Drosophila melanogaster: one gene and its partner. The protein of the gene in region 1 purifies or fractionates together with the protein of each later gene. This does not show direct contact. Each region holds a gene or a part of one and is shown in the gene's direction. Other genes may lie near its edges.

What was found.
Region 2: the proteins of ric8a (region 1) and Galphai purify together in Drosophila melanogaster (affinity purification with western blotting; 2 studies listed by BioGRID). This does not show direct contact.

Annotation. Positions count from the first base shown.
Region 1 is NC_004354.4:9,250,599-9,262,283, forward strand, and holds ric8a (ric8a), read left to right. Parts: upstream 1-5,569; 5' UTR 5,570-5,698; coding exon 5,699-5,779; intron 5,780-5,844; coding exon 5,845-7,485; 3' UTR 7,486-8,604; downstream 8,605-11,685. Other genes in the region: CG17754 (uncharacterized protein), read left to right, coding at 172-431, 1,930-2,973, 3,053-3,260, 3,319-3,441, 3,515-3,751, 5,030-5,122; Erk7 (extracellularly regulated kinase 7), read right to left, coding at 10,839-11,685. UniProt on the Drosophila melanogaster protein: Chaperone that specifically binds and folds some, but not all, nascent G alpha proteins prior to G protein heterotrimer formation, promoting their stability and activity.
Region 2 is NT_037436.4:6,971,878-6,986,070, reverse strand, and holds Galphai (G protein alpha subunit i), read left to right. Parts: upstream 1-6,026; 5' UTR 6,027-6,432; coding exon 6,433-6,553; intron 6,554-6,848; exon of another isoform or gene 6,849-8,424; intron 8,425-8,591; exon of another isoform or gene 8,592-8,902; intron 8,903-9,064; exon of another isoform or gene 9,065-9,749; intron 9,750-11,597; coding exon 11,598-12,069; intron 12,070-12,138; coding exon 12,139-12,233; intron 12,234-12,292; coding exon 12,293-12,481; intron 12,482-12,537; coding exon 12,538-12,728; 3' UTR 12,729-13,321; downstream 13,322-14,193. Other genes in the region: CG32388 (uncharacterized protein), read left to right, coding at 1,569-1,728, 1,792-1,871; CG43439 (uncharacterized protein), read left to right, coding at 1,986-2,156; CG10063 (uncharacterized protein), read left to right, coding at 13,713-13,779, 13,842-14,193. UniProt on the Drosophila melanogaster protein: Guanine nucleotide-binding proteins (G proteins) are involved as modulators or transducers in various transmembrane signaling systems.

The DNA of each region.
Region 1 (11,685 bases):
TGCAAATTACCGTTGCATCCACCTTTCAGCGCCACCCCCTCCATCGGCCTCACCGATTCGCGATCCACGATCCGCCTTCTGCCAACCGCCGCCAGCCAGTTGCTTCCAGCCAGTGATCCGATGCAGACGTTTCGCTGAAAAGGAGCGCACAGCCAGAACAGAAGAAGAACCATGTCGGCGGTGAACCAGAAGGAGAGTCCCAGCCGGGACTCGACGGCCTCCACATCCGGGCACATATCGATGCTGGCTGACAACACATTGGAATCGCTGTCGCGGGACTACAGCCTGGGCAGCTTGAACTCGGCGGGCAGCCAGGATGAGTTCTTTCGCTGCCGAGACCATGCGGACAATATACTCAAACGGATGCAGCTCTACGTGGATAGCCAGCAGCTGTGCGATGTGGTCCTAATCGCTGGCATCGATGGAAAGAGGTGAGAGCACTGAATTCTGATCCTGGAACTACGATTCCTGGCGTTCCACATCACTGCGATCGATGTTGGAACGATGGTCGGCAAGCAGCGGGGATCGGGATCATGGAACTCCTAGTTTCCAATGCCAATTCCCCATACCCTTTCCACGGAGACAAAGGAATGGAATATGGCATTTCAAATTGGAAAGTTCATTAGCGATTCCCTCCCGCTTCCCCTTTATCCCGTCCACCACCTAACCCACCTCCGCCTTCCCCTCCTCCTGCCCCAGCTGACCTTCACTTGGGTTCTTTGTCTGCTCTCTTTGCTTTTTGTTGTTGTGGTTGTGTTGTGTTGTCCCCAACGCAATTTCAACAGCGCACACTCACACGCAAGATAGTAGCAACACGCAAAACCAGGAAATGCAGCTGCGGCCACAATAATAGCAACCAAGAAATGCAAATACAGCTGTTTTACAAATAATTGCAAGAAAAAAGAGTTTAACAAATCTGGTTTTCACTTTTGAGTGTATACTTAATTTCTATTTGCACAATTGCTCATTTTAGGTCGGCTTTAATTCACTTATCTCAGTGAGCATGCTGACGCACAAAGTTAGTTTAGTGAATTTTATTATTTTGACAGTAGCTGCATATCTACAGAATTAGCTGTGCATCTATAAAAGTTCAAAGTTTAAAAAAGATCCAAAAGTATTGGTTAATACTCAATGATTCGTTGTTGGCAATATTTTGACAATCGATCGAGTTTTATTGCATGTTTACTTAGCATTCGTTAATGGTAAACTTCTCAGCGTTTATTTTTGCATTGTTTGGAATTACACTATAGTTTATGTCTAGAGCCATTCATTTTTTGCTTGTTTGCTTATCAGCAAATGTGCCGATAAGCAGACCATTTGTTTATTACATCAATAATGATATCGGTTTGGATAAACTTGATTGGAAGTAATCTTGGTAAAGTGAAAAAATAACAAATTACTTGCATTTATCCGTTTCAAAGATACTAGTGAAATCCTTAATGTCCTTCTATTGTGACCGCTGCTGTGCGCATTGTTGCAATAGGAAGATAGGGGAAGAGAAAGACGGAGCAAAAGAGATCCCCATTTCGAGCTCCAAAGAGTGAGAAAGAGAAACAGAGGGTCCCCATTATGTAGATTTTGTTTTTGTTCGTCGAACAATGGCGATGCAACGCAACTGAGAGGGAAGTAACCGTCTCAGAAACAAAGACGAACACCACGGAGAGGCAACAAAAACTGCAGCATGGAAAGATACAGATACAACGATTCGCGATCCAAGTGCAGTAGTTGCAGCTCTATTTGATTTCGCTGCACTCAACCGGTTTTGGATCGTGAAAACCTGTCGATCTGTGCCATGGTAAACAAAGGGAAAAGAACCCACCAGCGTACAGTTGCGGTCACGAAAGTAGTGACACCACAAGCTAATATTTTTTTTCGGATTAACTCTTGCGAAAGTGTCCACAATTCAAGGATTTCACTTGGCTCTTTCAGGGTGCCCGCCCACCGCCTGGTGCTATCGGCGTCGAGCGCCTACTTCTCGGCCATGTTCACGGGATCGCTGCGCGAGACCAAGGAACAGGAGGTGACCCTCGGTGAAGTGCACGGCGATGCACTGCATCTGCTGGTCCAGTACTGCTACACCGGGTTCATTGAGATGCGCGAGGACACCGTGGAGACGCTGCTGGCCACCGCCTGTCTGCTGCAGCTGAATGCCGTGGTGACCGCCTGCTGCAACTTCCTGGCCCGCCAGCTCCATCCATCCAACTGCCTTGGGTTCGCCTTCTTTGCGGAGCAACAGAGCTGCACCACGCTGCTGCGTCTGGCGCAGGCCTACACCTGCCAGTACTTTATGCAGGTGTGCCAGAATCAGGAGTTCTTCCAGCTGAACGCCGATCAGTTGGGCAAGCTGCTTAGCAGCGATGATCTCAATGTGCCCTCGGAGCAGGATGTCTTTCACAGTCTGATGTCGTGGGTGCGCCACGATTCCGCTGCCCGTGAGCAGCACATACCGGAGCTGTTGGCCCTGGTGCGACTGCCCCTACTGCAGCCAGCGTTTATCATGGACCACGTGGAGAACGTTTGCAATGCCAACGAGTGCCAGCAGCTGGTTATGGAGGCATTCAAGTGGCACCTGATGCCCGAGCGCCGATCCCGGATAGCCACCGAGCGAACAACGCCGCGCAAATCCACGGTGGGTCGTCTCCTGGCCGTCGGCGGCATGGATGCCCACAAGGGCGCCATCAGCATCGAGAGCTACTGCCCGCGTTTGGACAAGTGGACACCGTGGAAGCACATGACCGGTCGTCGACTGCAATTCGGCGCTGCTGTCATGGAGGATAAACTGATCCTAGTGGGCGGACGTGATGGGCTAAAGACCCTGAACACCGTAGAGAGTTTGGACCTGAATACAATGGCCTGGGCACCGCTCAATGCCATGGCCACACCCCGTCATGGACTGGGCGTGGCGGTGCTGGAGGGTCCACTCTATGCGGTGGGCGGTCACGACGGCTGGAGCTACCTGAACACCGTGGAGAGGTGAGAGGGCAATGAATTTGATGAATTGATGGATATGTACATATATGTATAATTGTGCAACTGAGTAAACATTTTCCAGATGGGATCCCATAGCGCGCACTTGGAGCTATGTGGCACCCATGTCCTCGATGCGTTCCACCGCCGGCGTGGCTGTCCTGGGCGGTCGCCTGTATGCGGTGGGCGGACGTGATGGTTCCGTCTGTCATCGCTCCATCGAGTGCTACGATCCGCACACGAACAAATGGAGCCTACTGGCGCCGATGAACAGGAGACGCGGCGGCGTTGGCGTGAGTATCCTCTAAGCATATCCTTAGTGGTCTTTCTCTTAATTACCTGCCCTACCAGGTGACGGTGGCCAATGGTTTCCTGTACGCCTTGGGTGGCCACGACTGTCCGGCCAGCAATCCAATGGTCTGCCGCACGGAGACGGTGGAGCGCTACGACCCAGCCACCGATACCTGGACTCTGGTAAGCTGGGATTGGGTTATGTGGTTCCCTCAACCTCATCCTCACTTCTAATCGATGTCATCTCATTCCACAGATCTGCTCACTGGCTTTGGGCCGGGACGCGATCGGCTGTGCCCTGCTGGGCGATCGCCTGATCGTCGTCGGCGGCTACGATGGCAATCATGCGCTGAAGAGCGTCGAGGAGTACGACCCGGTGCGCAATGGATGGAACGAGCTGGCGCCCATGGCTTTCGCAAGGGCCGGCGCCTGTGTGGTGGCGATTCCGAATGTCATACCGCCGGCGGCTCAACAGCCGCCGCCCAGTGCTACAGTTTAGTCCAAACCCAATCCACTTTCGGTTGCAGTGTAGGCTCGTTAATTGCATCGCTTATTTCGGATAGAAGGGCCAGATGTTTGGAAACGATTTGCATTTAGCACCCAGCCAAATTTATACGCGAAATTCCTATTAGATACCCATTATTTGGGTAGAGCTTTATAAATTGCATTTAATGTTAGTAAATTTGTCAAGATGTTTCGCTCGGCAGTTAATGCTGCACACAAACTGTAGATTTTATACCTTTCTTGCATTAATCTTAAAAATCCAAACATTCCACGTTTACAAAAGATATTTTCCCAAATTTACCAGTTCATGTAAAGCATTTCCATTTACTTGTAGATATTAAGGAACTTTAGGAGGCAATAATCAAAAGTAGTTTTATAAGTAGCGTGGTCTGAAAGCGATGCACTTAGCGAGAGAGCACTGCACCCGTTCTATAGTAGTTGTTGTTACTGTTGCTGTGAGCTGCTCGTGGTTGTTGCTCGTGTTTCCTAACCCGGCAAGTTTGAAACTGCAGCTCACCTTCGCCTCGCCTCGCTCTCGTCTGTGTTCTGACATGATTCCCTGTGGTATGGCATACACCCAGAACTCACCCACTTTCCGCACCGCACACCCCAACCCAGTATTTTCCCCATAACTCTGCTCTTTTCGGCTTGAATCTAAAAATAAGTAAATCAAAAAAAAAATAAAAAAATCAGTGAAATCTCATAGGATTTAAGAAGTGCATGTTGCGAGGCTTCCAGTTCCAATCTAAAATCGATCCCTAGCTGTAATTAACCAACGTATTTTACACGATACCCTAGTTTCTAAAAATTTTCCATCCCACTCACACCCCATGGTGTCGTACGCTTCACACACTGCACGCCATCTCGCTCGCACCGGTGACGGGCCCACATTCCATATGCATAAATCGTATACACATACTTATATCCTGACAAGACTGCGCCAAGCCAAAATTCCAAAAACCAAAATTGCTCATTTTTGCATGTGAAGTGTGCGAAACCATTAGAAAAACAAAACAAACAAAATCAAAAAAAAAAAAAACGAACGAAAACAATCAAAAAGACAACTGCAATTGCTTAGTTTTAGTTAGTAAATACTTGTCCCATGGAATGATTATATTTCGACTTTTGCATCGTCATTTTGTACCGATATTATTCTTAGTAAATACTAGATGTGTGTGTGCGTACAGCGAGCATTTATTTCTAATTGTTTATTATGTTTTTATTTCTTTCTTTTCCCTTTCCCTTCGATTGCATTTAAAAATTAAAGAAAAAGAAGAAGTGGAAGCCAGTGAGATTGGATCCAATCTGCTATAATAGGCGTCCCAGATGTGTCGAGTTTGTCGACTACTATAACATGTAAATGCTAGACAGACAAGACAACAAACAAAGCAAACTATAAACATTTAAGCCAAGCTAAAAGAAAAAACACAAGAAAACTTGTCAAAAAAAAAAAAAAACAATCCAAATATTACGTATTATTTTATATTTACACATATATATATTTTTACACAAAACATACACTGCGAAATGTATACACTGGATATGTATTTTTTGTAATAAAATCGAAAATTAAACGGTTATTCGCTGCATTTGAAAAACCGAACATATAAAATAATACTATTTTGTCGGTTAAGCGGGGATTGCTCTTTTAAATGGGTAACTTCAAGTTTCTTGATTGTATTTAAATATTTGAAATAATATATTTAAATTATCTAACTTTCTGATTGGAATACGATTTTTTTTAGAATATTAGTGGTAAGGGCGTACCGATAGTTGGCATTCGATGGTTGAGATATCTGGCAACGCCCCGTAGTATATTAGATTAGAACGGCAAAGGTGCGGTCACACTGGCGGAAATTATAAAAATTAATTAAATTAACTTAAACGACCTAAAAAGCGAACTCAACGACAGCTTTGAACGGCCACCGTTGGCGACATGGAAACGGAGCACCTGAAACGACTAGAGGCCAAGGAGGCGGACCACATTCCCGCCATCCTGGACGAATTCAACACAAAGGTGAGCACTGCCAGCGGTTTCTCCCGAAGATTCAACCAGATTATATACCCTTCCTTCTGCCGTAGAATGCGGATCTGCTGGTCTTCGACAGTTTCCGCACAGACAACCTGTGGCACGAACTGTGGCTGGCCATCTTCGGCATATTGGACGACCAGCGGCTTAGTCATCTGCATACGCAGTGCCTGAACACGGTGAGGATTCTAACGCGTGACGAGTTCAGCCTGCAGACGAACTACATCGAACAGGAGGTTAACACCCTGCTGAAGCTGGCTAGGATTGAGGCCGGCTCACTAAAGCTGCCAGCCACGCCGGACGAGCTTAAACAGGAGGAACGCGAGGAGCCCCAGCTGGAGCCCAGCCAGGCCCAATCGGAGGTGATTGCCGAAGCACTTAAGTGTCTGTGCAACTTGGTCTACCAGAGCTCCGACTGCAGGCGCCAGTGCCTGCGGCAACACTGCCTGGATGCAATCCTGAAGAGGGTGGCGTCCTCGATGCGACATCCCTGTGCGTTGGAGTACTACGACATGAAGCTCCTCTTCTTGCTCACTGCATTAGAGCCAGCGGCGCGCTCTCGCCTCCAAATCGATCTGAATGGCCTCACCTACATGACTAAGTGGCTGGACGACAAGCTGGGCGAAGACTCAGTTGGCGAGGAGCAGCTGAACATCATCTGCGAACTGCTCAAGGTGATGTTCAACGTGACCAGTGCTCCGGACAAGAGCCCCAACGAATACGAAATCCAGAGCTTGCATTTGACGGGAGTGCTGAGGGAGCTACTCCTGCGTTTCGGCGACTTGGCCACAGAAAAGGATCGCGCCGTCGTCACACACGCCATCAATCTGCTGACAAACATCTCCGGCAGCTGCCTGACAGAACTCACCCTGCGTTGCTCCAATGCCGAGTTGGAGTCGCACAAGGAAAGAGAGCAGGACAACGAGAAGGAAAAAGATACAGAAGCTGGAGCGGGAGCCAAACCCCGTGAGTGCTGCTCGCAGTGCTTCGAAAAGCGCAATGTTCGGAGTCTGGACGTGCTACTCCGCTACCTAAGGCAATCTCTGGCCCAACAGGAGGCCGAGGCTAGCTCGCATGAGTTGCTTTCCCCAGTGCTGACCGTGCTGGTGAAATGTGCGCGCAGCGATCGAGTTATGCGTCACTATCTACGCCAGGAGATTCTGCCGCCGCTGCGGGACGTTAGTCAACGACCTGAGGTTGGTCAGGAGCTGCGCAATCATCTGTGTCGGTTCCTTACACTGCCCGCGATGATCCTACGAGATCTGTCCGCCGAACTGCTGTTCGTACTGTGCAAAGAAAATGTCGGCAGGATGATCAAATATACGGGCTATGGCAACGCAGCCGGGCTCTTTGCCAAGCGGGGTATACTCGACTGCCGGCGAGTGGAGGGCACCGACTACTCCTCCGACAGCGAGGACAGCGACACCGAGGAGTACAAGCAGCAGCAGCAGGGCATCAATCCAGTCCTTGGCTGCGTAGAGCCGCGCAGCAAGTCGCATCTGGACGACATAAGCGAAGAGCAGAAGGAATACGAGGCTATGCAGCTGGTCAATCTCATCGAACAGCTGCGTCAGGGCGGGATCGTAAAGCCGGCGATGATAGACAAGGACGGGCGCCCGCAGCCGCTGGAACACATCCTTCAGCTGCAGGAGGAGCTGCCGCAGCAGCAGCTCGACCAGAAGCGGAAAACCTAAGCCACAAATGTATTGCGGGATCTGCTATGGCACAACTTCCAAATAGCTACCAAAAAATCACCTTAAACTCTGCATTTATTCCATAAGTTTACTGTCGAATGTAGCTTCGAATGTGTTCAAAAAGCAGATTTTTTTTTTTACATAGTTTATATATTTTATACCACATATTCGAGAACATCTCATTATAACCTACAATTTGTTAACCAAAAATTATCCAATCTGGCTTTGATTTCAGTGATCAGCTTTTGTCTAAATGCCATTATTATTAGTGTTAGCTAAAATAATTATAATCTATCCAATTAGCTTCAATTCGTAGATAAGTTCGGTCTCCCAACTTTTACAGAATTTCTTTAACCATTAACCATGTAGAACGTTGTACTTATTAAGTTATTACGCACTTCGTTGTTATTTTGTTGTCCCGTGAATTGTTCGCACTTTTAAAGTTGATACCATGGCATCCCATAACGTACGGCTTGAAAAAAATAACTAAATGCAAAACAATCGTTGGGGTCTTCCAATTTCAGGAAGTAGGGAGCAGATGAACATCAAATCTGAATTCATTTAAATACACGCCCACACTATAGGACAACTAGGACGACTTTTCATTTTAATAGTTAAGTGCATGTATGTATTATATTTATAAAATTCCAATTATACACTTAGGATCTAGGAATGAAAGCTCTTATTCCGATTCTCAGTTTTCTATTACAAATGATGTTGCATGTGTGTAACACTAACTATAGCTCTAGAATCGAACTAAACGAACTACAAAGTCTATCTATGACAGACGGCAGTGAGGAGCACTTGAAGAGCCATCAAGTTGTGGATGTCGACACGGCCATGCAACCAACTATCCCATCCGCACATTGTTCATGTCCATGTCTAATCTATGTTGTAAATTCCGCATAATAGGGTAAAGGAATAATTCCAAAACTTTCTAAAAGTTACGTGTCTTTGATCTATATACAAGAAATCCTATCTAGAGCTTTATTGTGTTCAATTTGCTATAGCGATGATACTAGTAGATCAACTTATATACATCAAAACATAGTAATATTTTTTGTGCGAGTCTAAATGTACGGCTATCCTAAGCTTAACAATAAAATAAATCAATCAAGGTCATGCTATAATAATCAAGCCACATATTTTCCGATTCATAATGCTTTGAAACTAAATTTTAATTATTAATATTGAATCAGAGTTATAAGGATCGACTCCTCTCCGGCGAGGAGTCCGCCTCTTGAATGTCGCCCTCCATGGGCCTCATGTGATCGAAGCGAGCAATGTAGCTGGGTTTGTGGTGGCGATGGCGGCACGCCTTGTGGCAGTCATTTGGGATTTCTTCTTGGTCATTCTGTTCCAATTTTCGGCGATACTTTTCCTCCTCCCTGCGCTCATCCAACCAAAACAGCTCGTATATGCGGTCGTGCCGCTGGAGTTCATTCGCTCGCTCCAGATCTTTTTCCTTCTGCTTCGGGGGGGTGTATTTGAGAAAGTAGTCGGCATACTTGCTGTCGTTGTCCCGCCCCGGGGAATGCACCGGCTCCGATCCGATCAGCTTTATCGAGTCATTCTGCTGATCCTTCGACAACGATTCATCCGCCTTCTTTTCAGTATGCCCACACACCTTTTCTTCTATCTTCAAGGGTTCGCTCTCCGCCTCAATGCGGCGGCACTGGTTCTCCTTTAGCTTGAGCTCCCGGTTAATCTGCCGCCTTTCCTCCCTCTGCAAAATCTCCATCTGCTGGCGATGCTCCGCTTCTGAGGGAAACCTATCCCTTGTGAAGTAGAACATGCTATGGTGTCTCTCTTTGGGTTTCTTCTCTTGGCACGTCTTGTTTGAGTAGCGATTCTTTGGAATCATACAAGAGTCCCATTGTATCATCCTTGAAGGGCTATCTTTGATGTTGTCCTTCTGGGTCTGAATCGCAGTTTGAACATGGGCCTTCGCTTCGGTATGGAATTTACGTTGAGACTGTGCCTGCGATTGCACTTTGCTTTTCTTCTGGCGAGCCGCGGCTGCCGCGGCCGCCACGGCAGCCAATTCCCGTTGGATCGCCGCATTTTTGTGTTGGCATATGTGCACAGATTTTCGCTGTGCAGCAGGAGCAGTAGCAGCAGCAGCAGGAGGAGCTGCAGCTGGAGGAGCAGAAGCAATAGAGGCTTTCTTAACTGCAGACTCCATGTGGTTGATCTCCTTCGACTGTGCCTTATGTGCAGAGCCCAGCAGCTTAATGTTCTTGCGCGACTGGGTCACCTCGACGGAAGATGGCTCCTTCTTCCATTCCGCCGGGCTCGTGGTCGATTGTTTGGCACTCATTGCAATGTGGTGGGATTTGGATGAGTTGAAAATTTGTGATTCGGCAGGCAGTTATGTGAATTATGTTAATATGTATGGTTGGGCTGGGTTTAGTGGGTCTGCTGTCATGGAACTAATATTACACTTAACTAAAGGCACACTTAGAATTTTGAATATTCACATTCTCATACCACACAGACAGGAATTTTTAAAACTATTGTGATTAAATGAAATTTGTGGTTCGAAATGAAGAATACTGACTGAGATACCGCCTCCAAATCGATCTAAATGGCCTCACCTACATGACCAAGTAGCTGGACGACAAGCTGGGCGAAGACTCCGTTAGCGAGGAGCAGCTGAACATCATCTGCGAGCTGCTCCTGCGTTTCGGCGACTTGGCCACAGAAAAGGATCGCGCCGTCGTCACACACGCCATCAATCTGCTGACAAACATCTCCGGCAGCTGCCTGACAGAACTCACCCTGCGTTGCTCCAATGCCGAGTTGGAGTCGCACAAGGAAAGAGAGCTGGACAACGAGAAGGAAAAAGATACAGAAGCTGGAGCGGGAGCCAAACCCCGTGAGTGCTGCTCGCAGTGCTTCGAAAAGCGCAATGTTCGGAGTCTGGACGTGCTACTCCGCTACCTAAGGCAATCTCTGGCCCAACAGGAGGCCGAGGCTAGCTCGCATGAGTTGCTTTCCCCAGTGCTGACCGTGCTGGTGAAATGTGCGCGCAGCGATCGAGTTATGCGTCACTATCTACGCCAGGAGATTCTGCCGCCGCTGCGGGACGTTAGTCAACGACCTGAGGTTGGTCAGGAGCTGCGCAATCATCAGTGCCGGTTCCTTATACTCAAGGCAATCTGGCACAAAAATATGGATCACTGCGGGTTTTTGTACGAAAAAACGTTCCGTCTTTATAAACCCAATAGAAGTTACAATATAAAATAGATAGAAAAGATCTACGACAAAAAGAATCTTCACTCATTGCATTCGCGTTTCAAAATATATGTATGTATATTGTGTCAAGATTGGGACAAATATTCTAGGACATATCAGTTGCTCTCCGGCAAGGAGTCCGCCTCCTGAATGTCGTCCTCCGTGGGCCTCATGTGATCGTAGGGAGCATGGTGGTTGGGTTTGTGGTGGCGATGGCGGCACGCCTTGTGGTGGTGAACTGGGAGTTCTTCTTGGTCATTCTGTGCCAACTTGCGGCGATATTTTTCCTCCTGCCTGCGATCATTCAGCCAAAACAACCCGTATATGCGGTCGTGCTCCCGCTGGAGTCCATTCGCTCGCTCAAGATCATTCCAATTCTGCTGTGGGGTGGTGTATTTGAGAAAGTAGTCGGCATACGTGGTGTAGTTGTCCCGCCCCGGGGAATGCTCCGATCCGGAATCGCGTCCCCCACTGTCCGGTGCGGGGTTGAGTTCTTTCCCTATTTCCTTATATGCTGTATAGTACTTAGCTCTGTAGGCGTGGTCCAGGTCGAGATTATCGTACTCATTGGTCTCGTCGCGGGCCAAGAACTCTTGCACCTGGCGCTGGCGCTCCTTTTCTTGCTCCTGGCGAAAGATCTCGTAGTTTTGGGATCCGGGACCACCAATGCCCTCCGGCAGGGCTCTTCTGTCATCCTCATCCTTCTCATCACTCTCCTTTGACCGCTGCAGCTTTTTCAAGTGGGTGCTAACGTTCGCATAGTTAAGCACATCCGCATTCAACTCGACAAAGTCCACCAACTCCTCCGTGCACTTCTCCATCTCTAGCTCCAGGTGATGGATCCGTTCGCGGACGCATGTGCCAAAGGTGATCGAATCCTTCTGCTGATCCTTGGACAACGATTCATCCGCCTTCTTTTCAGTATGCTCACACACCTTTTGTTCTATCACCTTGATCGTCTTG
Region 2 (14,193 bases), on another chromosome or scaffold:
TGGTGCGCAATAATTGCGCCAAATGTACAAAAATTAAGACAAAGAGAGAGAGAGAGCGAGAGAGAGAGAGAGAGAGAGAAAGAATTACTGTGGAAAAGACCCACTTCGGTTGCCCGAAAAACCGATCGCATCCGATTCTACACTTGGACTGCTCTTGTTTGGCTTTTAGTTTAATGGCCGGTACTTAAAAACGCGTTGACTCACAGAACAGGAAGCTGAAATTGAATTGAATTTGAAATTGAGCATCTGATCGCAGCATCGATTTACTCGCTTTTCATCGAACCATCGATTCCGCAACGTTGGCAGTAATTAATCTTCCCGCTTAAGCACCCATTGCCAAAATGGCTGATCTACAGTCTTCGGACATCAGCTCGATTCTTCGGAGTTCCCCCAATCCCTCCAATCGATGATCTCGAACTGGGATTTTGTATCTTGTATCTGCGATCTGTGGCATCTGTTTCATTTCATTTGACGCCCATTGTCGTCAATGGTCCTCCGCTCTTCTGCAGTCTTCTCCGCTCTTCTCCGCCCACCAATTCTTCCGTGTCGTTTGCTTTGTTCTTCCAGGGCTTTTGTAGACGCGAATCGTTTTTTTTTACGAATCTCAGTCTTTGGCCTTCGAGGGCAGCGCACCTGTGGGGTTAAAAATATACGAATACACGGATGCGCGGGAAAATAAAGTTCACTTGCTCAACATTGAAATGTCATGGGGGGAATTGTGTTTTCCACCGCTTGACAGTCGAATGCCGAAACTATTTGCTTAAATGTTTTTCACGTGCCGAAGGTAAAATCAGCCTAATGATTTCTTGTGATCGGTATAGTGCAGTTGAAGGATTTTTTTTCACTTTCTCTACCCTTTGATGGATTTAACCATGCAGCAATGAATCAAAGTCAATTTTCTTGACAAGCCATCAGCAGCGGATCATTAGTAAACAGTTGAACAAGTTCAAAACCCCCAACTAAGATCATGTTCAAGTGGTTTTAGCGTTGGAAAATTCCCTTTTCTTTTCATTTTAATCAACGGCGACATCCTGACGCAGCAGTCGCCTAATTATCCGCACCATAAATCGTAGCAATTGAGGCGCTGACGACAAATATTTTGACGTGGCGCCGCCACGACGATTTCCCCGATTTTCCCCGCATTTCCAACTCCCTTTGCCCAAAAAAAAAAAGAAAAAAAATCCAGAGGTTCGTGGCAAATGTGTGGTCGGCACTTGAGTTCGATTTTGGAAGCGGTAGCCACGGGATACTGAAAACTCTCGGCTTGTAAATGCAACCGAAACCCAAAACAAAAAAAATGCAAGCCAAGCAATTGAGAGCCAAATCAGTCATGTTTCACATTACTAATCGATTTTTCCATACAATTCAGCAAAAAATTATGGCTTAAATATAGTTTTGACCAGTCAATTTTGGCAGGAGAGAAGAAAGTTTTTCAATGGAAAATCAGATATCCCTTGATTTCTGTGTTAAGCAGTAGCTTTGAAAACTCAGTTCAGCACACAGTTTGGACACTTATATTACCAAAATTTCTGTTAAAATTATTTGATAAAAAATTATTCAGTTCAATCATGTTCAAAGTGCGCAGCTTGGCGCTCATGAAATTGAGTGAAGGCGTTTTCGGCGCACGACTAATGGCCAAATCGCCGAAGGATTCGGGCAAGGATTCTTGCAAGGGTGCCGATTCCAAAAAGAAGAAAGACAAAAAGAAGAAGGATATGTGTGGCAGAAGTGGGTACGATATCACTAGAAAAGAATCCTGTTAATCTTTGAGTTTTATTTTTTTTTGCAAAGCTGTTGTTCCCACTTCACCACGTTGCAAAAACAAACCCGGCGGCTCAGACAAATCCAAAGATGAGTGCAAGAAAAAGTAGCAGAGTTCGAATAAATCATTTCAGCCCCTTAAACAAAATCACAGCAGGCCTTTAAACAAACTTCAAGCTGCTTTGGCCTAAGTCAAAATTAAAGTTACAAAAGAAAAAAAAACCATGTCCCGACTTTTGCTGCAGTGCCGCAGAACTTTGCTGATCCTTCGCCATCAAACGGCGGTGGAAAATGAGAAAGGACTCTTTGGCAAACTGCTGGGAAAGTGCCAGTCCTTTGGCAAGGATGAAAAGGATCTTGGCCAGCAGGAGGAGGAGGAATCAAAGAGATCTTAGTTAGGAAATTCAAATGGTTAGCTCTGTGTATACATTCAATTTTCGAAAATATAGATTTTCTTTCCAAACCCTTACAGTCTGCAGCTAAAGAAGCTACCCCGTTCCCATTGAAGATCATATAATGGGCAGCAAATTACCATATTGTTGCCGGAGATCCCAGATGAATCGGGTCCATTTTACGGGCAGCTCATAAAACGGATCGTGCACAGACATTATAAAGCCATAAAGCATCAACTAAAATCGGTCAAAAATAGCTTTGGAGGGGCACAGGCGATGGCCAGACTTAGACAAGTGATACAACATCCATTTCCCTGGTCGGTTTACGATGTCTGAAAATGCCAGGCATCGAAATTCGACGGCGAAGGGCAGAATGACCAGCAGCGAGATGTATCTAAATTTGAAGCGAACCAAATTGTTAGATAAAAGCAATTGTTTCTCACTGAATCATGGGAACTATCTTAAATTTGTTTGGGGGGAAAAACTGCACAATCTCAGCTGGCAGGTACTTAAAAGGTGCCACGTAGCAGTTGCAACCATAGTTGCAATCCACGAACTGCGATTTTCCAATCTCGCAGATACTCAGATGCATGACAAAGATGAGCCGCAATCCAGAAGCCCAACATCCGTGAGTGGGTGGATGTGGATATGGTTGGGATATGGCCCGATTTCTTGGTGCTTCTTTCCATTTTTATGGCAATTCAATTGCACCGCCAGTGACTTTTGTTTCCTGCCGCGAAGCGTTTCTTCCCCCCTCCCCTTTCTCCGCACTGCAGGTTGCAACCGTATGGCCATGTAAGATCTATATTTTCGGGTTTTCCTTTGCGGAATGTAAACAAAAGTGAGATATATATATATACCGACATAGTCACACTTGTCGGTTCAATAGTTGAAATACTATTTTCCCCAGCTCCATTCATTTATTTTTATATTTTTTGTTGCTTTGGGCTGCTTTTGAATTGATCGAATGAATCGGTGTAATATATGTTTTTTTTTTGGGCTAGTTATTAAAGTTATCGCAGTGTAAACAAATGCGATGCGGCTTATTTTAGTCGAAGAGATTATTCGCTCGGATTTTACGATTCTGCGGCCTCATTTCGCTGGCAAATCTTCGGAATTTATTGAATAATTGGGGTTACTCGCGGTCTGAGGTATCTTTCATGTTAGCTGTGCTAAGTAAATACATAGATGTTTTAAACATAAATCACTTTTATTAGTTAATTCTTTACAAGACAATCGATGGATCGGAACTTTTGGCGGAAAGAAACCGGACGAAAGATTTCCATGCTGATTAATATACATATATATTAGGCATTTTCCACAGCAACAAAACATGTTTCACTATATATTTAATTACCAATATATACATATATCCTCAATCAATGCAATGTAACTACCAATTTTGAACCCATTCCCCAACTCCATTCCACTTTTCCTGTCGATTAATTTTCCCCACTTGTCGGTTTTCCGACGTCGTTTTTGAAAAAGTGCCGAAAATCAATTGGATAATCCGACGATCGACGCCCAAAGGAATCCATCAGTGCTCTTTAAACTGCAGACTGCAACTTCACTTGGCGGCAGACTGCAGATTGAAGGGGCTGATTTTTGGTGGAAAATGAGCGCTTTTCCCGCCTGTCTGTTCCACCTTTCAACGGCCGGCGAGAGATTTCGTCCGAAACTACATTTTCCAGCCTGCCGAATTATCGGGGAAATTAATCTTTTCAATCTTGAGTTTGCCCAGGGCCACAACACAGCACACATGTGCCAAACTCAGCGCGCAGACACTGAGAGAAATAGGAACTACTTGCGTTAGGATCCTCAAAATGTTAAACTACATAAAATATATATAAAACTATTAATATTGGTTATTAAAGATTTAAGGATTTTCCAATTCGTGTAAATTATTTATTCATGGTTTTAAATCTATCTATTGTTATAAATTACTTGGAAATATTTGCATTTCTGAATCTACCAGCCACATACCAAATTTCATATCAATCACAACCGAATTCTCGCCAGAAATCAACTTGCTTGTATTGTACTATTTTCTCGCAGTGCATGGTATGTGTGGCCCGGCTAACGGTATATCTATTTCAAGGCCCATCCTTGTAATTGCTCCTCCATATCCATCTCTCTCTCTCTCTAGCCGCTGTTTTCCTGGCAGCTTGTTGTTTTTGGTTCTCCTTCCTTATTCATCTTCGTTTTCCCGATGGCGATTGAAGTTTTGGATGAAATGATGCCGACATTCGTCAAATTTGTTGGCATCAGCAAACAGTTTGGGATTCCGATTCCGATTCCGAATCCGACTGCAACAACAACAACAAGAGCAGCAATGTGGCAGCGTGCGCCGCATTTGCAGGCAGTAAGTGCGACAGAGATGGAATGAGAGCGACCACCCACAGTGCAGCATCACTGTATTTCTCTCTCGCTCGCACGCGCAGCGAAAACCGCATAAATCCATATTTCTCTAGCTTGTGCTTTTTACGATAAATTACAGAGGTTGCAGGGTGTTCGGTAGCGCACAAATGATCATTCATTCACAAGACAGCAGATACCCCCGCATGCCCCCTAATTCCTCACCGTCCCTCTCCCCGCCACTCCTACGCCCCTCTGCAAATGCCGCACTTTTCGTGTAAACATGTGTAAATCATGACCCGTTGATGGCCTTTATATTCATGGTAGAGCAAGAGGAGGGGTGGTGGATGTAGGGGGGTGGGGGTGTTTCTTGAGGAGGGGAGGGGGATGGTGGCCACATGTGACGTCCTCCGGCGGCGGCAAAACTTTTGCACTGCGACCCCATCCTCATCCTCATTCTCATTCTCATCTTTATCCGCATCCTCGTCTTCCTGCCTTCGCATCGCTTTGTTTAGATAAATTAGCTGCGGAAAGACCAGCCCCCCCCCCCCCCCCCCGTCACGTTCCATACCACAAAATTCACAAAATAGTTTCTTTTAATATCATCGATTTGGAAAAAAACAGAGGAGCTTCTATAAGTGGAATTATGCTAATGAAATTTTGAAATATTAATATTATTGCATTAATAAAGTTATTATTAATTATATGATCATTGCATATGCATGATTCTCTAAAAATAAGTTTAAAAAAAATGAAATTAAATATTACTAAAAATATAAGCTCAATAAAATATAAGCTCAGTTTAAATAAAAAGATTAACAGTGCAAACGAAAGTAATTTCTTTAGTTCTCATATGTTTTGTTATTTAAGAATTGACGTATTTATGTTATTTTTTAAAAAGTTCTGTTCTTCGAATTGACTTTAAATGATTCTAAATATTGTCAGTTTGTTAGAAAGGAGCTCCACTGTACCTGCGTCGCATGCAACTGCAGACATTTGGGATTCAAATCGAGAATGGAATGGAATTGTCCCAAAATAAAGGCAAATATTATTTATGCCAGGGCCCTGAGAACTTTTTCTCCAACGGCCTGCGTGCACATTGCATTGGTGTTGATGAGGGGGGAGTGGCGGGGCATGCATTTCAGAACAACATCATATTTTCGGCTATGTTTATTTACACTTAAAGCGCTATAACAACAAACTGAAATGCAAAGGGCAAGTTGGGCATAATGCATGTATGGCTCACGACTGAACAGCGGAAACAGGATCATATGAGTGGCATTCAAGCATAAAGTTTACAAAGTTGCGATAATTAAAATGCGTGTATATCAATTAAATTAATTTGAAATTTACCGCCCAAAAGTGACGTCACAGTTGCCTACAAGAAGATGCTAGCCAAGTCACACACCCCGCGAGTACTGCCAGACTGCAGCTAGCAGAGTACCACACCCGGCAGCGTTGCCACACAAACGATCGTGTGCAATGCACTAACGCCAGTGAGCAAGCGATCTGTGAACTTCGGCAAACAGTCACACCAATCCGACGCGAAGTGAATCATATTGCGCACAGCAAAATCAGCGGATAAGCAAATTAAAGCGACAAAAGAATATTAAATCGGCTCTGCCGCTGCAGCAAGAAGCGTGAAAACAGCAATGCAATCGGGCTAATCTCCAAAAAAAACCCAAAAACGTTTCAAGCCAGTGTGTGTGCGTGTGTTTGTGTGTGTGTGCTTGCGTGCGCTGCGCATGTGTGGTGTGTTTGTGTGAAAAGGAAGAGAGGTGGAAACGCACACAAAAAACGAAAAGAAAAAAAGTGTACAGCCGACGACGCGCAGACGCATCTCGAAATTGTTGGAAAAATCGCGTGTGAGAAGAGTGCGCGAAGTGAGAAAGGAGCAACAAATCGCTAAAGACATATTTCGAAGATGGGTTGTGCCGTGAGTACAGCACGCGATAAGGAGGCCATCGAGCGGTCGAAGAACATCGATCGCGCCCTGCGGGCGGAGGGCGAGCGGGCCGCCTCGGAGGTGAAACTGCTGCTGCTGGGTGCGTTCGCCTTCCATTTCACCTTTTCACCTCTCTAGCATTATTCCGGTATTTCCCCCCTTTGCGAATTCTTTGCTGAAATTCGCGTTGTGACCTCATTTTTTTTTCCATTCGCTCGCTTTGCTTGGGCGGGGTGGGTATCCGCTGGGTGCCGTTGCTTTGCGCTTTCGGCTGTGGTGAGTTGGGGCAAGGATTTTTGCCGGCTTTTCCAGTGCGAAAGGGTCTGGAAAAGGCTGGAAGGCATGGGATGAAACAATACAGTAGAGTTACAGTATAACGAATTAGTAAGACTAAAATTAGAAAAATGTAATTTATTTGTTTTTAAGATCACTCGTTATTATAAGACCATGTTATTCTAGCTAACAGTTTAACATAAAAGTCTAAAGTCCCCAACTATCCCATATTTCGACTATAAATATGCATGGAATGGAGTAAGTAGACTCCATGCAGCTCTGTTTATCTGGGAAAACCAATGTTTATGTGGCTGCTTGGGGCTAAACAAATCCGTCTGTTCGTAGATCGTGCATTATGCAATGTCTGTGTCCAATAATTCGTTGGCGATAAGGGAATTGAACGTAAATTGAAACCAAATGTCGGTTTGACTGTGCGGATACACTCGATTCTAGATTCTCGGTACTCAGTGCTCGTTTCTCATCTGCTGGCACGCACTTTTCAGATCTTTTGGATCGATGCAACAAGTGGATCGAATCGGATCCCATTGCCGCAATGGAAACATGTTTGTTGATAGCGCAGCGGTTTCCACTTTGCAGGAAAAACCATTCAAGCGACGAGGCGCCATCGTATCGCATATACAAACATACATGCATACATACATACATACATATATGATGTATGTATGGTTTTTGGTGACCCGACCTCTGCGGCAAATGCAGTGAAACTGAATGCCTCGCTGCGTTGCAACCTTCTGCAATTAAATTTCCACTCGCCGATTTATATGCACGGCATATGGGAACGATGATATATTTCACCGTCTGCGTGTGTACTTTTCATTTCATTGCCATTCATTTGCGAAAAACAATGCCGTGGAAGTTTTCCTCCAGCGCGGCTGATTGGCCAATGAATCGGGCCAAGATGACTAAGGCAACGAGTGGTAGGCTGGAAAGTACAGCAAAGACTGGCTATGCAACCTACACCTTTATTAAGTGAACTGATATATAGGGTTTACTGTACTAAATTAATTCATAATGTCAAATGTTATCATTTCAAAAGGATTTTTCTAAAAAAAAAAATGATGCACATTAGTAAATGATTTTTTTGGAACCTAGAACATAGTGTAGTTTTCATTTACACTGTAAAACATTTATCGAGCTTATCAGCAGCCACCGCACCTTGCACTATATTTGTTTGTGAGTAACCACTGTATTTGCAGGCTTAAAGATAATAAGGAAAACTGTTTGCCTCAATGAAAAACCTCGTAAACCGGTTTGGAAAATGCCCGCTAAAAGGTGCAGGAAAATTCTACCATTTTCATCCCCATTAAAAGATATCCCCTATTATCATTCAGTATCCCAGCTGTTTTCGTCCAAACCCCCGGTTGACCAGTGTAAATGCTTCTGGTTTACATAGCCAAGAAAACAGCTTGCACCAGTTGCATTTTGAAATTTAGCCCAACATTTTACACTTGATTCAATTGTTTGCACCTTGTGGGGCGTGTGTTCTGTAATTTCTGGATCATGATGAAAACCGATCTCTGATCTCCGATCTCCGAGCTGCTGCAGCTTTCCTCCGACTTCCAGCTGAGTAATTGGCTGTTTTTGTTGCTGCTTCGTTGTTTGTTCGCTGACATTTCAAGTGGGGTGAACGATATTAGCGCAAATAAATGGGCCCGCCATCAAATGCAACTGTCGCGGCTACACGGAAAGAAAAAGAAGAATGTACTAGTTTGCTAAAAAAAATATCTTTAAAAAATATAGTTTTCAAATTATGCAGTAAAGACATTGCTTATAATTTAGTATAAATATATATATTATTCATTGAATTTATTGGTAATTTCTACCAGTGTACAGCGACTACTTACTTGAATTGGAATCGGAATTGGCAGCCCCCAACGCTGCGCTTATTGAGTAGATTTAATAAAGCTGCTCAGCTGACACTCAATTTATATTACACTCTGCTGCCTCTCCCCTTTTCCTTACCCCCCCCCCTTTCCGCAAGCCTTTCAATTGAAAAGCACAACTTTTTCAACCGTTTTTCAACCAAACATATTGTGCTTAAGGGCAAAGATAGTGAATTACTGCATTATTTTGATGATATTTGCAAGGAAAGAGCAGCAAACCGAAGAGAGAAAACGAATTCCAATGGGGGGGGCATGAGTAAGAACTCGGATATCTGTAAAAAAAAAAAAAAAAAAAAAAATATGAAAAAAATGGGAAGAAAATAATATATAAACAAAATAGTGTCATGCTGCTGGCGCACCAATATCAAAATCGGCACTCAGACTGTCAACACACAGCAACTTAATAATCTACAATTATTTAAGAACTCGCTTACCAACACATTTAAACTGAAAGTATCATTGGGCTTATCAAAATTATCGCCAAGCGAGCGACCTTATACATATGTACGTCAATATACTATATGTGGTTAAATAATTGATGTACATATGTATGTACATCACATATAGGAAATTTCATGATAATCGAGAGATCTGCGTGAAAGTCACTACTAGGTGGGGGGCTTCCGTTTTGGGGCCGCATTTCATCTGATTTAATTGTTTACTTTTTCGGTGGGTCCGCTCAATTTCACACTCCCCGCTGATTAACACATTTCCCACTTCGATAACTGAGGCCAGGCGCCATTTAACTTGATTACTCATGGCGCAAACACTTTCTTACGATTCTCCTCCTCTTGCTGTCTACAGCTATTGTTCTTTCTTCTCCCCTCTTTTTTAAATCATCGCATGGCGTAGCCTTAGTCACCCTGTTTCCAATGAATATTCTAATTTCGATAAGTAATTATCTAACGAATTGGTTGGTGCAGTAAAAACTGCATGTCTTCCTTAAATTTCCTATCTAGCTAAATAGTGATTTTTTAATCATTTATGACAAATTGAACAAATATTTGAATGTTGTTTACAATTTCAAATTCTAATAAATATAATAAAAAGTTTTTTTAGCAACTTCTAACAACTATAAAATATATCAATAGAAGCTAGAATTCCTGCATTCCCCGCCGATTCTTTTTTCGCCGATATTCACTGTTTAATGATGTTAATTATAATACCGTTTGGTTGTGGCCATCGCGATGATAATGAGCTTGTAAACGCGGCTTTGTGCGTATCGCCGTTGTTCTGAGCCCGTCTCGCTCCAGCCCTATTGTTGGCCTCTCGCTCGCACCCGCAGTCGGCCGGGCGCGTGTTATGGCACAGCTAACGGTGCATTGATAAATGAAGGCCCAGCCACACCAACACACACGCACACACTCTTTCGCATTTTGTTAGTAGTGTTATTATTAAATTGACCTTTTTCCAGCCGCTCATTTGTGGATTGCTTTGTTCGCTACTTTTTTCCACACGGTGGCAAGTTTGAACATCGCCTTATGTCCATATTCGTATTCAAATCTGTCAATTTCATCATTATGCGGCGACCGTTGTTTGCCCATTATCAGCATTCAGCAGGCGTCTCTTTCGCTCCAACACTTTTTGGTGGCAAAATTAGTTAGCATTGTTCGGAATTGGTTAAAATTGAAGTCTTAACAATAACTCAAAAAAATTTATAAAACAAATTTAATGTAATATATATTGACAGTGAATGTAACAGTGGCCATTTAGTGTAATATATATTAACAGTAGGTGTAACAGTGGCCAGCACATTACAATTAGAGTGGACCCTATTCTAACACATTATGGTACCTAAAACTATAGGCTGAATTTCTTAATCTTCATAAATGTACGTAACATATGTATTAAACTTACCAATCTTCATTGAATGAGCACCATCCGCCCCAAGGGAACTTCAACCATGGCTGATTGATATACGTACGAATAGTAAAAACAATTAAAGTTTCAGTGCAAGTATCGAAGCCCTGAAAGTTGAGAAAAGTGAAAGTAAAGTCGCAGTTTTGGCTTTGGCAATTACCTAATCATCCGGTGGCTGGGAATGGACCCAACTACCAACTGCAGCAAAAAGTCGGCTTAATGCGCCATTGTTGCAATGCCCCAACATCGTGTATATATGTTTATATATAGCTATAGATATTCGAAATTACTTGGACCGGCAGATTTGCCAATTTTTGTATTTGCCCATTTGCTCTGCGATTTCAACTTCTTTAGTTTTCAGCGAAAAGGGAAACTGGCGAGCACGTAATGCGATTATGTTTCATATTTTTTTTTTTATCATTCGACGCAGCAGATAATATACATAGTACTACATATATAATAAACTGCCCAGACGAGCCCGTGTGTTTGTTGTTTATCAACGCTGACGGGTCAGGTCTCATTTAACAATTGAAGGCACTCGGCGAATAAAATTATGCCCAGTTAATTTTCTCCGCAATTTCCAACGCCTTTGATAACTAATGGGTGGGTGGTTCAACGAACTCCAGGGCTCGGCCATGCAAGTTAATAAATTATAATAAATTACAGAGTAGTACGCTTAGAAAATGCATATATCTATTTGGATTATCTTTAGCATGATGATGTGCATATAACTTGATCTGTTATCACAATATTATTGACCCTTATTTGGTGTTCATTTGATTCGTATTGAAATCCGACATGCTATATTAAATGACCATATACACGATGTTCATTCATTTCTCAACTAGACCAGCGCAATTAAGCGTGACCTCTTGAGTCGCGCAATTGAGCAACTTTTCTCGATCGTCTCATTCATAAATTCCACTTCCGTTCCCCTTGGCAAACTTAAAAGCCCCTTCCCGAAACCGAACTCATCGATTCATTCATTCAGTTTTACGCCCTGAACTTGGTGCATACAAATATTGAGCTCACACTTCCTTGGAATGATTCTTTATAAACTTTGATAGTACACCTTAACTAATAAACTCTGTTGAATTTCTTTTGTAGGAGCCGGAGAGTCGGGCAAGTCAACGATTGTGAAACAGATGAAGATCATCCATGACACGGGCTACTCGCAGGAGGAATGCGAGGAGTATCGTCGCGTCGTCTTCAGCAACACGGTGCAGAGTCTAATGGTGATCATCCGCGCAATGGGACGCCTGAAGATCGAGTTTGCCGATCCGAGCCGAACGGACATTGCCCGCCAGTTCTTCACACACGCCTCTGCCGCCGACGAGGGCATCCTGCTGCCCGAGATCGTGCTCCTGATGAAGAAACTCTGGGCAGACGGTGGCGTACAGCAGAGCTTCGCCCGATCGCGCGAATATCAGTTGAATGACTCGGCGGGATACTATCTAAATTCGCTGGATAGGATCGCGCAACCGAACTACATACCCACGCAGCAGGATGTGCTACGCACGCGGGTGAAGACCACTGGCATCATCGAGACACACTTCTCCTGCAAGCAGCTGCACTTCAAGTGAGTTGTCATTAATTGCCCACTTCCGGTTGATTCGATTCTAATGGTTATGTTTTTTTTTCGCCACAGACTTTTCGATGTGGGTGGCCAGCGATCGGAGCGCAAAAAGTGGATTCATTGCTTCGAGGGCGTTACGGCCATAATCTTCTGCGTCGCGCTATCAGGTAAGTCAAATATTCTACGAATCTTAGGAATCTAATGCAATTGTTATATATTTCGCTAGGTTACGATCTAGTATTGGCCGAGGACGAAGAGATGAATCGTATGATTGAGTCCCTGAAGCTGTTCGATTCCATCTGCAACTCCAAGTGGTTTGTGGAAACATCCATAATACTGTTCCTCAACAAGAAGGATCTGTTTGAGGAGAAGATCAAGAGATCTCCGCTGACGATATGCTTCCCAGAGTACACAGGTAAGATAAGAGTGTAGAAAACGATTACATTTTTGTTTAACTTGATATACTTTTAGGAACCAACACCTTCGAGGAGGCGGCCAACTACATTCGCATGAAGTTCGAAAACCTGAACAAGCGAAAAGACCAAAAGGAGATATACACGCATCTCACCTGCGCCACGGATACGAACAACGTGAAGTTCGTCTTCGATGCCGTCACCGATGTGATCATCAAGAACAATCTGAAACAAATTGGCTTATTCTGAGAGGGCGGCGGAGCACAAGATCATCATTATTTAGCTGGCGTCGTAGTATTAAAGGAAAACGCGCATAAACATTTCCATTAAACGCTAAGAACTCGATACATTTACGCTCGTACGATCCATATATGTTTTAAATGCGTTACATGCTTGACACACGTAATTTTAATAACCGATTTGGTTGCCAGTAGTCGCGGAACAAATAACCTAACCAGCTGCAATTTAGTTAACCGTGTCCATTAAATTGCACCCATAAGCTAACTAATTTAAACATTAGCCTAACCACACAAATGTAAAGTTCGACAAAGGACAGCCGGTGGGTTTTGTACATCCTAAAACCTCAACCCGATCGGCTCCCTTTGGAATTTAGTTAAGTTTCGCGGGCTAATGGCGGTGACCAAGGGGAGCACCACATCCAGAAATCCCCAGAGGTGTCTCCTTGGGCGCAAGCCATTTTCCGGACGTTTATTCTTTGCCAAGAGCTTGACAGCGTTATTTAAGGTGAACCTAAGGCCTGGAGTTGTAAGCCCTAAAATGTAACTAGTAAACTTACTAATATGTTTAGTAATAGCCTAAATAAAAGACAATTTATACAAAATAACCATTCGTACTTGAATGCTGCCAATGCTGCTTATTATTTCATGTGCGCTTACAGAGCTGACAACTTAGTAAAATAAATATTAGGATCCTTAAATTATGTTGATCATTGCTCAGTTAGTTTAGTGTATATTCCAATTTAGAGCTATAGCTTGTGCCTATTTTCATAAATATATTAGAAACAGTAATTTTGTTTTAGGTTTAGCTTTTTTGAACTTAGCGTTCTTTCCCAAAAAAAATGGGATTTTCTTCGGAAAGAGTTGCAACTCTGGCTGATGATTGTCAAGTTGGCCTTGCCGCATTCTGCTTTTTGTCAGGCATTTTGGATTAATTCGTTTGTTGAAATTGTCAATTGCTTCAGTGAAGAATTTTTAATCTGCTTAAACTTGGAAAATGATTCGCGCCATGGTAATGACCAAATGGAGTAAGTCGGTGGCGGGACCACTGGTCACAGCGTGGAGTAAGTGAAGCAGGCACGTGTTTTTTTCTTAGCAAACTTTAACGCCTTTTCCCACCATAAAGACTACTCCACATTGAATCGCCTCAATGGCAATACTGTGCGCCCGCGTGCTCTGTTCCTGAATCTCGACCGCAAGTTCTCCGCCGAAGGTGGCGGCGATGAGAAGCCCAAGAACGTGCCGCCTGGATTTGCGGCTCCAGGGTTTCCATCCACCTTGGGCAATAACCCAGAGAACACCACGCGTAAGGATGTGCCCATTGGCGAGGTGCAGGCGCCAACTATTTCCGTAGTGAACGCAGGCGGTAAACTGGGCAGAGCTGAGCCACTGGAGGCCAGCACCATCGTGCGCAGCAAGGGCACTTCGAACGAGGACAAGATGACCGAGGCGCAGAAGAAGGCATCGGAGGCCAAGGA